2 linked regions of the Astyanax mexicanus genome follow. The protein of the gene in region 2 purifies or fractionates together with the protein of the main gene of each other region. This does not show direct contact. Links are inferred from orthologs where the notes say so. Each region holds a gene or a part of one and is shown on either strand. Other genes may lie near its edges.

Region 1 (6,386 bases), about 3.8 Mb from region 2:
AAATATTGAGACAGAACTGTTCACAGTGTTGTGGTGAACACAAGACATCTGAAGAGCTTGATATTTTTTACAAAGGAAATTGTGACAAAACATTGCTGAACCGGTTTTATAACAAGGTTTTAGCCCTAATTGCATTTTAAGAGACATACAGCATTGTTTATAGACAAAGCAATATCTAAAGAAAACTATTATATGTTTGTAAAGGCACAGGCATGGAGATGAGATTAAGTCCTAGACAATGCTTGCTTTTTTGTAATGCCAGTGCAAATATAATTCAAATACAAATAATAATGGGTACAATTCTAATTCTACATGTAACATTTGTTTGCTGAGACTTTACATTTTCACCATTTCATCTGCCCATCTGAAGTCGTAACCGTTGTGTAGAGAGGTTTTCTCAAAGGTGGGCTTCTTTTTCTCCTTCTTGGCTGCATTTCTTGGAATCTTTACATGTTCACCTTTTCACATCAACTCATCCTAAATGTCTTTACAATGATTTATGATTTGTCCAATGAATAAAAAAAAAAGCAATTGTGCAATTGTTTCTTTCAGACTGTCACTTCTGAGCTGATGCCTTCTTTTTCTTGGGTTTCCGGATTTTTGATGGGTTTGGGATGGTTTTCTTGACTTTGAGAGGCTGAAGTGTTGGGGTTGGGTCTTGTCCAGGCTCATGTGAAAGGTCAAGCTTCCTCTTTTGACCCCTTGGTGGATTTGAGGGGGGCTCCTCAGTCTGCGTTTCAGTCTTAACTGGATCTGAAGGATCTCCAGTAAGATCTCCAGTATCAGTAGGACCAGGATGGGGGTCTCCTCCCAGGCTCTGGTCCTCCAGCCTGGCTGGCTCCTTCTCAGTGGGCACCCAGGGCACACAGAGGGGAGGGACCTTGGAGGCTATCTCCCCTACTGTGTTGGAGAAGGCGGTGTCTCCTCGTTTGAAGCCCAGTGCCAGCACGCTGCTGAGACCCAGAGCCCCAGACAGACCCTCACTGAGGCCGGGCACCTGGCATGCCGGCACCGCCCTGGTTCTGCTGAGGGGGATGAGGTGGCTGATCATGTGGGCTGGCCTGATGGAGCTGCACACCAGCACCAGGCTGAGCTCATCCTTCTCCAGGCCTTTGGTCACCTCGTTGATGCCGATGGCCAGCTGCCTCCGGGAGGCCTCGTCGCTCCAGCCTGGCTGCCGAGCAGTTTTTTCGGCTTCGGGGGGCTTCGAGTCCCGCTGCTTGGATTTCCTCCTCCTGCTGCTGCGGAGCCCCTTCACTCGTACCTGGATCTTCTTAAGCCCCAGAGCTTCTATCGTCTCTGTGAGGCAGTTCAGAATAAATGCCTTCTGGCCCTTCTCCAGAGGAGCCCATCTGAGATCGTAAGGGTTGTTTAGAGAGGTTTTCACAGGGATGGGCTTCTTTTTCTCCTTCTTTGCTGCTTTTCCCGGAGTGCTCATCCTGCTCTCATAACTCCAGCGTGGCCACAGATACTAAAACAAACTAAATAACTTTATATATAAACCAGCTCCTGCTTTATAAAGGTCCTCCACAGCCTCGGTGCTCTGAACAGTGGTGTTCAGAGATGTTCCACCTCAGATCAGATCAGAAAGCTTTCACATGTGTGCACTGAGCTCAACATAACATCAGCTATCTATAGAACACGTGTGCTGCTACAGGGCGCCGCCATGCTGGTTCGGAGCGTTGAGTGTTAAAAAGCCACACCGCCCCCTAGTGTTCAGGGTCTATATAACACTACACTACCACATAATGGACACATTATTTATTAATATGTTATATTAAATATATTTTAAACGTATTTTATCAATTTAAATCGTATTTTAAATATATTTTAAGCATTTCAGTATTCAGTAACAGGCCAGCATTTTTATAAATTTTCTGCCTAATGTTACATACCTAAATCTTGAGGATTTCTATTCAAGCATTGCATAAAAAAGATTTCATGTTTGATAATAAACGTTTCTACAAATTCCAATTGTAAATGTATTAGAAATACATTACATTTCATTTGGCAGACGCTTTTGTCCAAAGCGACTTACAATAATGAAGTACAAAAGTAATAGGAATTTAGATAACCCATTTTTAGATAGGGCTTAAAGGAGGTCGAAGGGAAATAAATGGATAGAGAAGTGAAGGAGGGGAAGAAGGAAATGGGGTTAGAAGTAGTTAGTGTGTTAGAGGTGTTAGGAGAGTAAGTGCTCTTTCAGGAGTCTCTTAAAGATAGCGAGATTTTCTGGATCATTTTAAAATCATTATTTTCCTGAATGCAAATCAAACAGTTCATGTCCCCCAAACCTTTCGTTTTGTTACAGTTGTCTAGATTTTATGTTTACTTTCAAACCTGCAGAATTTGGGTTGATTCCTGTTACTAATCTGGAATTATTTAGTGGAGTAGACACTAAAAGCCCTCATAGTCTTTAAAATGTAAATAAGTTATTTTACTGCAGAGAAAAAGGATTTTGTATCACCTACACTTGTAGCCTGTATACATTCAAAGGCCAGTAAAGGGGTTAAGGAAAAATACATGTTTCCCTCTGACAATTCCCCAGATGTGGGAATAATAAAGTCACAGTGTCAAAGCTATAGAAACTAGATAGAAGTATCCATAAACAGTTAAAAAAATAGAAAAGCTTTCTTTAAAAAAAATGCATGGAAACCTATGAACTACAAAATGTATTTCAAACATTGCAGTATTGCAGTGTATTTAGGAAATATACAAGTTTGTTCATTTTCATCTACTTAAGATAATCCTTTATTAGTCCCACAGTATCTGTTGGAATGTAATACAAACAGTATAGCGGTATCCATAAACTACATCCAACAGAAAATAGAAGAATATATACACAAGCATTTTTTTTAAAGAGAAAACAAAGAGAAGGCATTTTTTATTCCAACATGTATTTCTAATATTACAGTATTGTATTGCAGAATATTAAGGAAAAAAAAATCATGCATTTTCAAATAAACATAAAATAATCCTTTGTTAGTCCCACATCTGTGAAATGTTTAGTCATAACAAATTAATTAAACATATTTCAAGCATTGCAGTATATTTTTGAAAATGTTTTATATGATAATGATAATTTTATATGATTACTGTCTATGTGTTGCACATTAAAGATGAGTTGTTAAATTTCACGTGATTAGACAGGATAAAATAAAGTAACAGTACAAAAAAGTATATACACGTTTTTACCAATACATAAATGACAAGAATTTGCTGTTTATATGTCATGTGATGTGTTTTTTTTTTTTTGGTATATCACTGTCAAATTAGTTAAAATTAGATTTTGGTTTATAGATGTGCTTTTACAACCCTATTTACAAGCTGAAGACATTGTCATGAAGCAGCTTTTACAGAGATCTCTGTTCAAGCCCCAAATGAGCAAACCACTGGCAACAGTATAATGGCGAAGAGAAAGCGTCCCCAGAGTGGAAAGAATAAACCTGCAGAGAAAGAAGGTCTCAGAGGACCTTATTCTTCTTTGATCAACAAAGATAACAACAGTAAAGTCAGGAAATAATATTTACTTGTATATACAGTAATTAACAACTAGTATAGACAGTAACTGATGTGTTTATTTTTTTATTTTTGATGATTATGGGTTACAGCTAATGAAAAGCCAAAAGACAGTATCTCAGTAGATGTATATATTATATAGGAGTAAGACCAATTGGTACTTTTGGCAGTTGGAAGGAGATGCCAAGTCTAAATCATTAAATGTATATATATATATATATATATATATATATATATATATATATATATATATATATATATATATATATATATATATACATATACAAATCTGTTGGAAAACCAGGCTCAGAATACTAGTATGCAGTTTAATCCCTGTTTTTTTTATATATATATTTGATTAAAACTATAAAATAAATATGTGTTACAAGCTTGTTAATTTGGATTATTAATTGATTGTTTAATGTTCATATCTGAAATTGTACTTCAGTCCATGTGTTCTCTGAGCTTAGACACAAACCAGCCTGGCCAACTTGCTCATACTGGCTTTCTGTTTTAGTCAGATGGTTTTGCTTGGCCTGCAGATCAACAGAAATATCAAGAGCTATGCTGCTCAACCAGCTGGTTTTTGGTTTGGGAGATTTCCATTGGGGCATTATTAGCCCCTTTTTAGGGGGGCTCAAGCATCCCTAAATTCAACAAGCACTCCTAAAATGTAACAAATATATATATTTAAACAGAATTAGATAAGCTGAAAAATCTTCCAAACTAAAAAAGTATATCATTAACAGAATTTCTAGAATAAAAATAAAGTAATCTCTCCTCAACACACAAATGGTACAATCCACTTTCTCTCTGTGCTGCTGGGGAGAATGAGGCTGGCTGCCATTTCATTGGTCAGTTTGTGTTTTTATTAAAACCAGTGTGCTAGACTAGTACTGTCTGTATGTGTAGTAGCTAATTAATAGTGCAGAATTGTAGAAGATGTGATGAGACAGGTGATGTTCCACTCCTGATACGTCCTGTGTGTGTGTGTGTGTGTGTGTGTGTGTGTGTGTGTGTGGATATTCAGTATCAGCCACAGATATTGAATTGTTTTTTCAAAGAAAAGAGCAGGGTCAGGTTAGAGAGTAAGGGGACTTCATTGCCCACTTTAAATTAGAGCACATAATGGAGAGTGCTACGGTGGCCGAGAAAGCCCAACGCAGTGCAAATTGAAAAGCCCTGCAAAAGCATAAAACACATCCATCAAAATTACAACACAGGCGCAGCAAATAGAAAAACGCGCTGCAAATAGAAAAACGCGCTGCAAATAGAAAAAGAATGTGCAAATACACAGTTATATATTAATCTATCTGTACAAATTTGTAGAGATGTAAACAGTGGACCATAAATAAACTATTAGTGCAGAATAAGGTAGAACAATAAAAAATAATGTAACAGGGCATCTCTAAAGGGTGTTTCTGTGGAGATGGGGGTGTGTCCATTGGAAAGACCCAATATGTGTCTCAGAGTTTTTAGTTTGCAGTGCTGAGAGGACAGTCTTGAACAGTGTTATCTCCTGAGGGACAGGTGTACCTATCTGATTTGGCACACACACCTATTATGTAACTTGTAATATGTTACTGCTCTTCATTCATAATTATCTATGATGCTACAAAGGCAAGGCAAGTTTATTTATATTGCACCTTTCTTACACAATGGTCATTCAAAGTGCTTTACAAATTACAATAAAAATGGAAATAAAAATAATAAAGCATAAATAAAAATATAAATAAATAATTAAAACTAAATATATAGTTTATATATATGTACTCTGGACATCACGTTGCTGCTGCTTTCCTACTCTCCTTTATATTTTGTGTATTTATCTTGATATCTATTTTATTTTATTTTATTTTAGTATTTTATTTTATTATATCTTATTTTATTTCATCTTTATATTGATTTTATTTTAACAATCGCTCTTTATCTGTGTATCTGGACCCTGAGAGTACAATTTCGGTTCACCTCATGTACCACATGTGATGTGAATGACAATAAAGTCTCCATGAATCCTTGAACTAAATGATATTATTTCTTCTGATATGAGAGACTCACGCCTCCTGGGAACTCTTCCCTATTTTGTATGTAGTTATTTTATAAGGGAGGGTGGTGTGGCTGGGTTTAATTCTCTGATGCTAGAAATTGCATACACTTCGCTTGTCAGTGGTTTTAATGTTGTGGCTGGGCTCGGTGTGCATGTGCTCCTCTGTCATCAGTAATGCTGTGTGCTGATTGGCTCATTCTGATTGGCTCTCTGCTCAGCCAATCAGCGTTCAGGCTGCCACACTGCGACTGTGCACGATGATACCGTAAACTGTAATTCATCAGCAGGTCTACGCTGAGTGCAGAAGACGCAGCAGGAATACACACACACACACACTCTCTCTCTCTCTCTCTCTCTCTCTCACACACACACACACACACACTCTCACTATCTCATACTCCAGCTCTCTCTCTCTCGCCTGGGAAAATGACTCTGCAGGTTGGTGGTTTATGTATTTTTTCCATGTTTTATTTATTGTGCCTGTATTGTACTGTGTGTGTGTGCATGTGTGTGTGTGTGGTACCTGTTAGCAGCTGGATGTGTGTGTAGCTAAGGCCCATTCTGCACTATAATATCATACAGCTATAATATTCACTATATATTTACCAGCATATAGTGTTAATCAGCTCCATGACGTCATTATCACCCCATTCAGTGTGCAGTGTCACTCCATATGAGTGCAGTAGTGAGGGGGTGAGCGAGCTGCACTTCTCTCCCTCCATAGCCTGATTATCTGCACACAAACACAATGGGCCTTCAGACTGGTTTGTACGCCTGTTTGTTGGTTGTTTAGCTGAACAATAGAAACTCATGTACAGTG
Region 2 (7,414 bases):
TCTGAATTTTTGAAAAATAAAAATAAAAAAAACGTACCTTCTCTATATTTTATGATTTTTTGCAAGTTTAATTATATCATCAGATTTGAGTTACAAGATACAAAAATGGACAATTCTGAAAATCAAGAGAAGATTCAACTTTTCTTTTTTCTTAATTTTCTAGTTGTGAAAAGCCAAAACGAACAACTAGATCATTAAAAAATTAGATAAAAACACATTTCTTCTTTATTATACTGAATGGAAAAAAAAATAAAAATAAGTTTTATACCCATTTTTTTTTTATTTTCGAATTTAGCTTGATACGGTAATCTGTCAAACCATGATACCCTAGTGTATAATTTAACCACAGAAAAAAGCACCATATTAGAGCATGTTCCCAGCAGAAGTCCCAGTAGATGTAGCGTTAGTATATTTGGATAGCATAAATCACTGTATCATGGTAAAGTTATGTCAATGAGAGGTCATTACAAACTGGTTTTGTATTAAATGTATTAAATAATAATTGTATTTATTAAGTTGGCTTGTCAAAGCCAACTTATAGTTCTTCTTATTCTTCTTATTATTATTATTCTTCTACGCTAAAATTTCTCAACGCTACTCCTCCTACAGTTTTCGAGCTAGAACCACCAAACTTCACAGGTTGGTAGAAACCATAGCCACTTAAGTTGCTTGTGCTTTTCTAAGCGATCGGAGAACCAGGGTTCTAGCACGGTTCCGTCAAAGTCACTTTTTTCCCCATAGACTTCCATTCACACTTTTTTCAAACTGCTGTAAAAGTCACAATTTTCAAGCTAGAACCACGAAATTCACAAGACATACAGAACTTGCAGAGACGTTTCAGACGATATGCTGATCTCACCGATACGATTTACGGTTTTCGTAAAAGTATCGTACGAACTTTCCCCATAGGAATGAATGGGCGGAATGTTGGCCATCTCACACACACCAGCCGATCCTGCGCACGGCCCCCCTCTCTGCCCTGCTCCTCAGTACTGTATCTGTATGGAGAAGAGACTGCTGAACACAACCCACACCAGAACCAATACCACACTACACACACCACACACACACACACCACACATACACCACACCACACACACTTCAAACCACACATACCCCACACCACACACACTCCACATCACACATACCACACACTTCACACCCCACACCACACACACTCCACACACTCACCACACGACACACAGTCCACTCCCCACACTCACTCCACACCACACATACTCCACACCACACAAACTCCACAGTCCACACCACACACACACCCCACACCACACACAGTCTACACCCCACACTACACACACTCCACACCACACCCTACACACATTCCACACCACACATACCACACACCAAACACACTCCACCCCACACACTCCACACCACACATACCCCACACCAAACACACTCCACACCAAACACACCCCACACCACACACAGTCTACACCCCACACTACACACACTCCACACCACACCCTACACACATTCCACACCACACATACCCCACACCAAACACACTCCACCCCACACACACTACACACCACACATACCCCACACCAAACACACTCCACACCAAACACACCCCACACCACACACAGTCTACACCCCACACTACACACACTCCACACCACACCCTACACACATTCCACACCACACATACCCCACACCAAACACACTCCACCCCACACACACTACACACCACACACACCCCACACCACACACAGTCTACACCCCACACTACACACACTCCACACCACACCCTACACACATTCCACACCACACATACCCCACACCAAACACACTCCACCCCACACACCACACATACCCCACACCACACACACTTCAAACCACACATACCCCACACCACACACAATCCACACCACACAAACCCCACACCACACACACTTTAAACCACACACACTCCACAGCTCACATACCCCACACCACACACACTCCACCCCACACATACCACACACAATTCACACAACACCACACATTCCACACCACACATACCCCACACCACACACACTTTAAACCACACACACACTCGATAGCTCATATACCCCACACCACACACACTTCACACCACACATACCCCACACCCCACACACTCCATACCACACACACACTCCACAGCTCACATACCTCACACCACGCACACTCCACCCCAAACATACCACACACTTCACACCCCACACCACACATACCCCACACTCTCCATACCACACACACACTCCACAGCTCACATACCCCACACCATACACACTCCACCCCCACACATACCACACACACTTCACACCCCACACCACACATACCCCACACTCTCCATACCACACACACACTCCACAGCTCACATACCCCACACCATACACACTCCACCCCACACACACCCCACACCACACACACTCCACACCTGACACAAACCCCACACTCCACCACACATACACCACACCACACACACTCCACACCACACATACTCCACACACCACACCACACTCTCTACACACCACACCACACACACTCCACACCTGATACACACAACTCACCCCACACTCCACCACACATACACCACACTCCACACCACATTCCAAACACACCACACCAAACACACTCCACAACCCACTCCACACCCCACACACTCCACACCACACACACACTACACAACTTAGTAACTATTTGACAAGCCAACTTAAAGTTCGTTCACGAACTTTGCCTTTTCTAGTTACTATTATTATTTTTCATTTAAACTTTTGTGCAATGACAGTGATTCGATGTTGTTTAACGCACACAAAAATAGAATTATTATAAACAAACACGAGAAATATTTAAAAAGTGTAGGTCAGCGCATGCGTAGTGCCTTTAGAAAGTACGTATTGATGGGCAGCATATATCGACTGAACAACAGTCAGAAATTAACTGCTAAACGTTACACCCATCGGGAAAGATCAGATCTAGCTGGAAAACAAACACACTTCTGACAGTATTTCTGCTGAAACAGCGAGATGAATTCGCTACTGCTGCAAAACCACGCCGCACTCAGACACTCTGATCACACCTGATTAAAATCATTAATATTAATGAATTAATTCACACGCTGTAATGAATAATCATGTAATCAATGCTCACTGTAGCGCCGGATCAAACGCAGAAGCGTAGAGAGCCTGAATAAGACGAGTTAACACTTTAGTCCTGAACTGAGCTCCACTGTGAGTTAACTGCTTCCCCACCATCAGCACGCCACTACCCACACACGTGTTCCAGCACTTCCGGGTACAAGGGGCTTATGGGAGTTGTAGTTCTGCGACAGAGGCTTGCTTTTTTAAAGAAGAAAAATAAAATAAAAACGACATAATATACATTTACTCATGGCATTTACTTACATTTATGATATACACCAAATAAAACTAGAAAAAAAACAACAGATAGATAAAACGTTTATTTTAAGTTTTTTTTCTCCTGTTTAAATGTATACATCATGTGCAATAAATTAACACATTTTTATTTATGATCAAATAAAAAAAAAAAAAAATATATATATATATATATATATATATATTCAATTGAATATGTGCTTAAAATTAGACAGTAAATTATCAGTAAAGATTATTATTCTAAAAACTACAATTAAGTACATGATAAACACAGAAATAAAATTCAAGAAAATGTTAAAATACAGTACCAGTCAAAAGTTTGGACACACCTCTTCTCATTCAATGTGTTTTATTCTTTTTAATGATGTTTTACATTGTACATTTAATATTAAAGACATTAACGCTATACAGGAACAGGCAGAATTATTAAGTTAAACAAACCAGAACACGTTTTATATTTTAGATTCTTCTAAGTAGCACATTTATCTTTGAGGACAGATCTGCACACTCTTGGTATTTTAATCTCAGTGTCTTCATGAAGTAGAGATACCTGGAATAGTTTTCTCAGTGTCTGGAAGGTGGAGTGTCCTGGAGGTGCTGAACACTGTGAAGCTCTAGATCATCTCAAATCACTCATCACAGTTGATCAGGTTTAGATCAGGGGATTGTGGACAAACACTTTTTATTGTTTAATACGTAATCCCATATGTGTCCCTTAATTGATTGTTTGAATCACATTTTATTTATGCTTTATTCTTCTTTTATTATTTCCATTTTTATTGTTATTCTCTTACACGTTTATGTGAGTCTTTTTGTATTTTCTAATTTATAAATCACTTTAAATGACCATTGTGTATGAAAAGTGCTATATAAATAAACTTGCTTTCATGTCTTTAATAGTAATTTACAATGTAGAAAATACATTAAATAAAGAAAAACGTTGCATCATAACATTTATCAGTTTAATTTTATGTTTCAGGATAAATTTAAACATAGAAAATTGTTTATAAAACTTGTTACAAAAATGTTTTTTTTCATTTACTTCAGTAAAGAAGAAATTGATCTGCTTTTGCAATCTTTAGTGTTCTATTTCTGACTTTCACTAACAGAACTGAAAAATTTACTCTCCTTTCAACTCTTTTTTTTAGATGTAGAACTTAATAATAAACTTACTATTGTTACAAGAAAAATCTAAAAAATTGACAGAAGATTTTTTTTATTTGTCCTAAAATTGTGAGGTGCAGAAATAAAGAAAATAGAAAATTGGAAAATTAGATTAAAAAAAAAACTATTTCTTCTATACTGCACCAAATTGTAAGAGTTACATAATAAAGGTGTTTAACCACCAATTTTCTATTTTCGAAATTAGCCTAAACTGAACTGATAAACATTACACTGACTGAGAAGCTGCGTCATAACTTTTGACTGGTACTGTACATTGTAAGTATGTGTGCATGTATCTTTATACAAACTATCGATGTTCCTACGATGTTAAAAATGAAATATGGCTGTATTTATACAGTATTAAATTAAAGTTAATGCTACTGCTGCTACAGAGTTGGTATAGTTGACAGTCAAAGGTGAGGTAGTTTACAGAAATGACAAATAATCTGCAATGAAATGCTGACAGTAAGAGATTACATACTATAAATGTTTTCTTTCCTTTTTTTTTCTTGTGCTGATAATTAATTGGCCCATCATCTATGTTGTTACATGTGTTGTATTCAGGAACCTTGCAGCTCTAAAAACTGAATAACACTCTGATAATAATCCAGCAAAATGATCTAACAGTCTTTTTGGGTGGAAAAACAGCCCTGCAGCTTTCAGAGGCAGTCTTGTCAACAGAATATCAAATATGCGCACCATCTGCTTTTTTTTTCTTTTTTTAGAATTCATGCCCTTCAGGAAGAGAAGAACAGGGACCACAGCCAATCTCTCATTCAAGTGCTTACGAAAAACTGCTGAGAATAAGAATTCCTAAGAAAAGATTCAACAGAAAAATACATATTTCAACATATTATATTATATTATTCTAATTCCGAACTACTGTAAACCAAGTCTCATTTCTTACTTTAGGCAAATGTGTGTATACTACTCTCTCACCTGCTCATCTGGTCCCAGATGCCATAAAGTTATAAAATCATCCTGCTTTGAGGCAACTCCCTTTGCTGGAACTTATCTTAAACAGACGAGTTTGAGCTGGTTTAAAGGAATCACTGCAGGGAGAAACATGCCTACATAAGCAGAACTAAACTGTCACTACAGATCATTCTGTCTGCATACACTCAATCCATGCTGTGAAGCATGAATAATGTGGGAAAGTGTGAAGACACACTCCTCACTAATGCTGCAGTTCTGATGTGTTCATAAACTCTGTGTAATGTCTGTGGACAACCCTGGTAATGAATGCATCATTTAGCTCCTTTATTTTGCATCCATTTCTGACACTGAATGATGACTGTAAATGCATATCGTCGCTGTCCAATGAAAAACAAGTATCTCCAAAACAGCAACTTTACAGGAGAGATATAAAACCTTTTTTAACTTTCAATGGATGTCAATGTTCAAATAATTTGGGAGGATTTCTATTGGCCCATAAATCAAGACATCCTGACAAAGTATAAGGGAAATGTGGGTAGTTGAAATAATTTAGTAAGCTAAAAATCAACAAAAATGGAGATACTTGTTTTATATTGGACAACAACGATAAAAAGAACTGGTATAATTAATGTACATATTTATTACCAATTAAATAGAAACTTCTTAAGCAGATAAACATGAACTAATCAGCACCATGCCTAATGCCAGGCATGGGCTAGAGTTGTATAATACCTTTTATAATACCCCACAGCATTGAGCTGTGTAGCAGTGGAACTATGATATCTAAAATGGTGGTAAATGTATACATCCTGTGCAATAAATCAACACAATTTTTATTTATCATCAAATTTAAAAAATATATATTTTCAATTGAATATGTGCTTAAAAATAGGACAATCAGTTAAGATCATTATTCTAAAAAAACACAATTAAGTACATGATAGTACGATTCAGTACGTTTGGGTTGAGTTGGAGAGTTGGGGATGAGTTAAGGTGCTAATTTAGATTCCTGGCCTGTCTAACACCTGTCTAAGTACAGTAGTAACAGTCAGGCCTTTTAAAACAACCCCTGTAAAAGAAAAGTGTATTTAAGTATTTTTTTTAAAGTGTACTTAACATGAAAAAGTACATATTTTTTTTATTAAAATATGTACTTAAATAAATATAAAATGTACTATTTTAGAACAAATTACGGCAACTTAAGTATATTTCAATTGCAATAAAGCTATATTTAAACACAACATAAAATCATTAAATTGTTGGGGTATTCATTCCACTTGAGACCACAATGTAAATAATACAAAAGTTAGAAGTAAACTGACAAAATCAATGAACTAAAACTGAAACAAAGTACATTGAAAAAAAAAGAAAAAAAAAAAGAATTACAAAATCAAAAAATAAAAATGCACTACTGACTGTGTACTACAAAAAAGGAAGGGTTTTAGTTTGATACAATATAAATCACCAAAATCTGAAATAGTGTACATGGAACAGAGCATTATTCTGTCTTCATTTGCTATCAGGTTGGTACAAATTAGTGCAGTCACTGGTTGTTTGTGCATATTATTTGAACTGTAATAAATGTGCATTAAACTTTATATTATTCTTCAATCCAGAACAAATTAATTTTTCTAGCATGGTGAAAGTTATTAACATTACACTAGCTGACATTTGGCCTGCCATTTTAAATGTGTAAAGCTCATAATTCTGACTTTGCACCTGGGAAGTTGGACCTTTTAACTGGATTATATATAAAGGCAGCATTATCTCCCATCAGATCTGTGTTCATCTTGGCCATGTGATTGTATTAATAAGGAGACCCCACAGTGGTGCAAACAAAAATAAAAAAAACAGAAATTTCTTCATTAGTAAAAGTAACTTTATTGGTTCTGTACACTAAAAAATGTGAAAAAAGAAGAATCCCATGCAAC

Evidence for each region.
Region 1: the proteins of pop1 (region 2) and rpp38 purify together in Homo sapiens (affinity purification with mass spectrometry; 3 studies listed by BioGRID and IntAct, with this or other methods). This does not show direct contact. The link is inferred for Astyanax mexicanus from reciprocal best matches to the Homo sapiens genes POP1 and RPP38.

The regions. Positions count from the first base shown.
Region 1 is NC_064408.1:111,996,735-112,003,120, forward strand, and holds rpp38 (ribonuclease P protein subunit p38), read right to left. Parts: upstream 1,670-6,386; 5' UTR 1,439-1,669; coding exon 557-1,438; 3' UTR 515-556; downstream 1-514. Other genes in the region: acbd7 (acyl-CoA-binding domain-containing protein 7), read left to right, coding at 5,993-6,004. UniProt on the Homo sapiens protein: Component of ribonuclease P, a ribonucleoprotein complex that generates mature tRNA molecules by cleaving their 5'-ends. Also a component of the MRP ribonuclease complex, which cleaves pre-rRNA sequences.
Region 2 is NC_064408.1:108,228,141-108,235,554, reverse strand, and holds the start of pop1 (ribonucleases P/MRP protein subunit POP1), read right to left. Parts: upstream 3,276-7,414; 5' UTR 3,139-3,275; intron 1-3,138. UniProt on the Homo sapiens protein: Component of ribonuclease P, a ribonucleoprotein complex that generates mature tRNA molecules by cleaving their 5'-ends. Also a component of the MRP ribonuclease complex, which cleaves pre-rRNA sequences.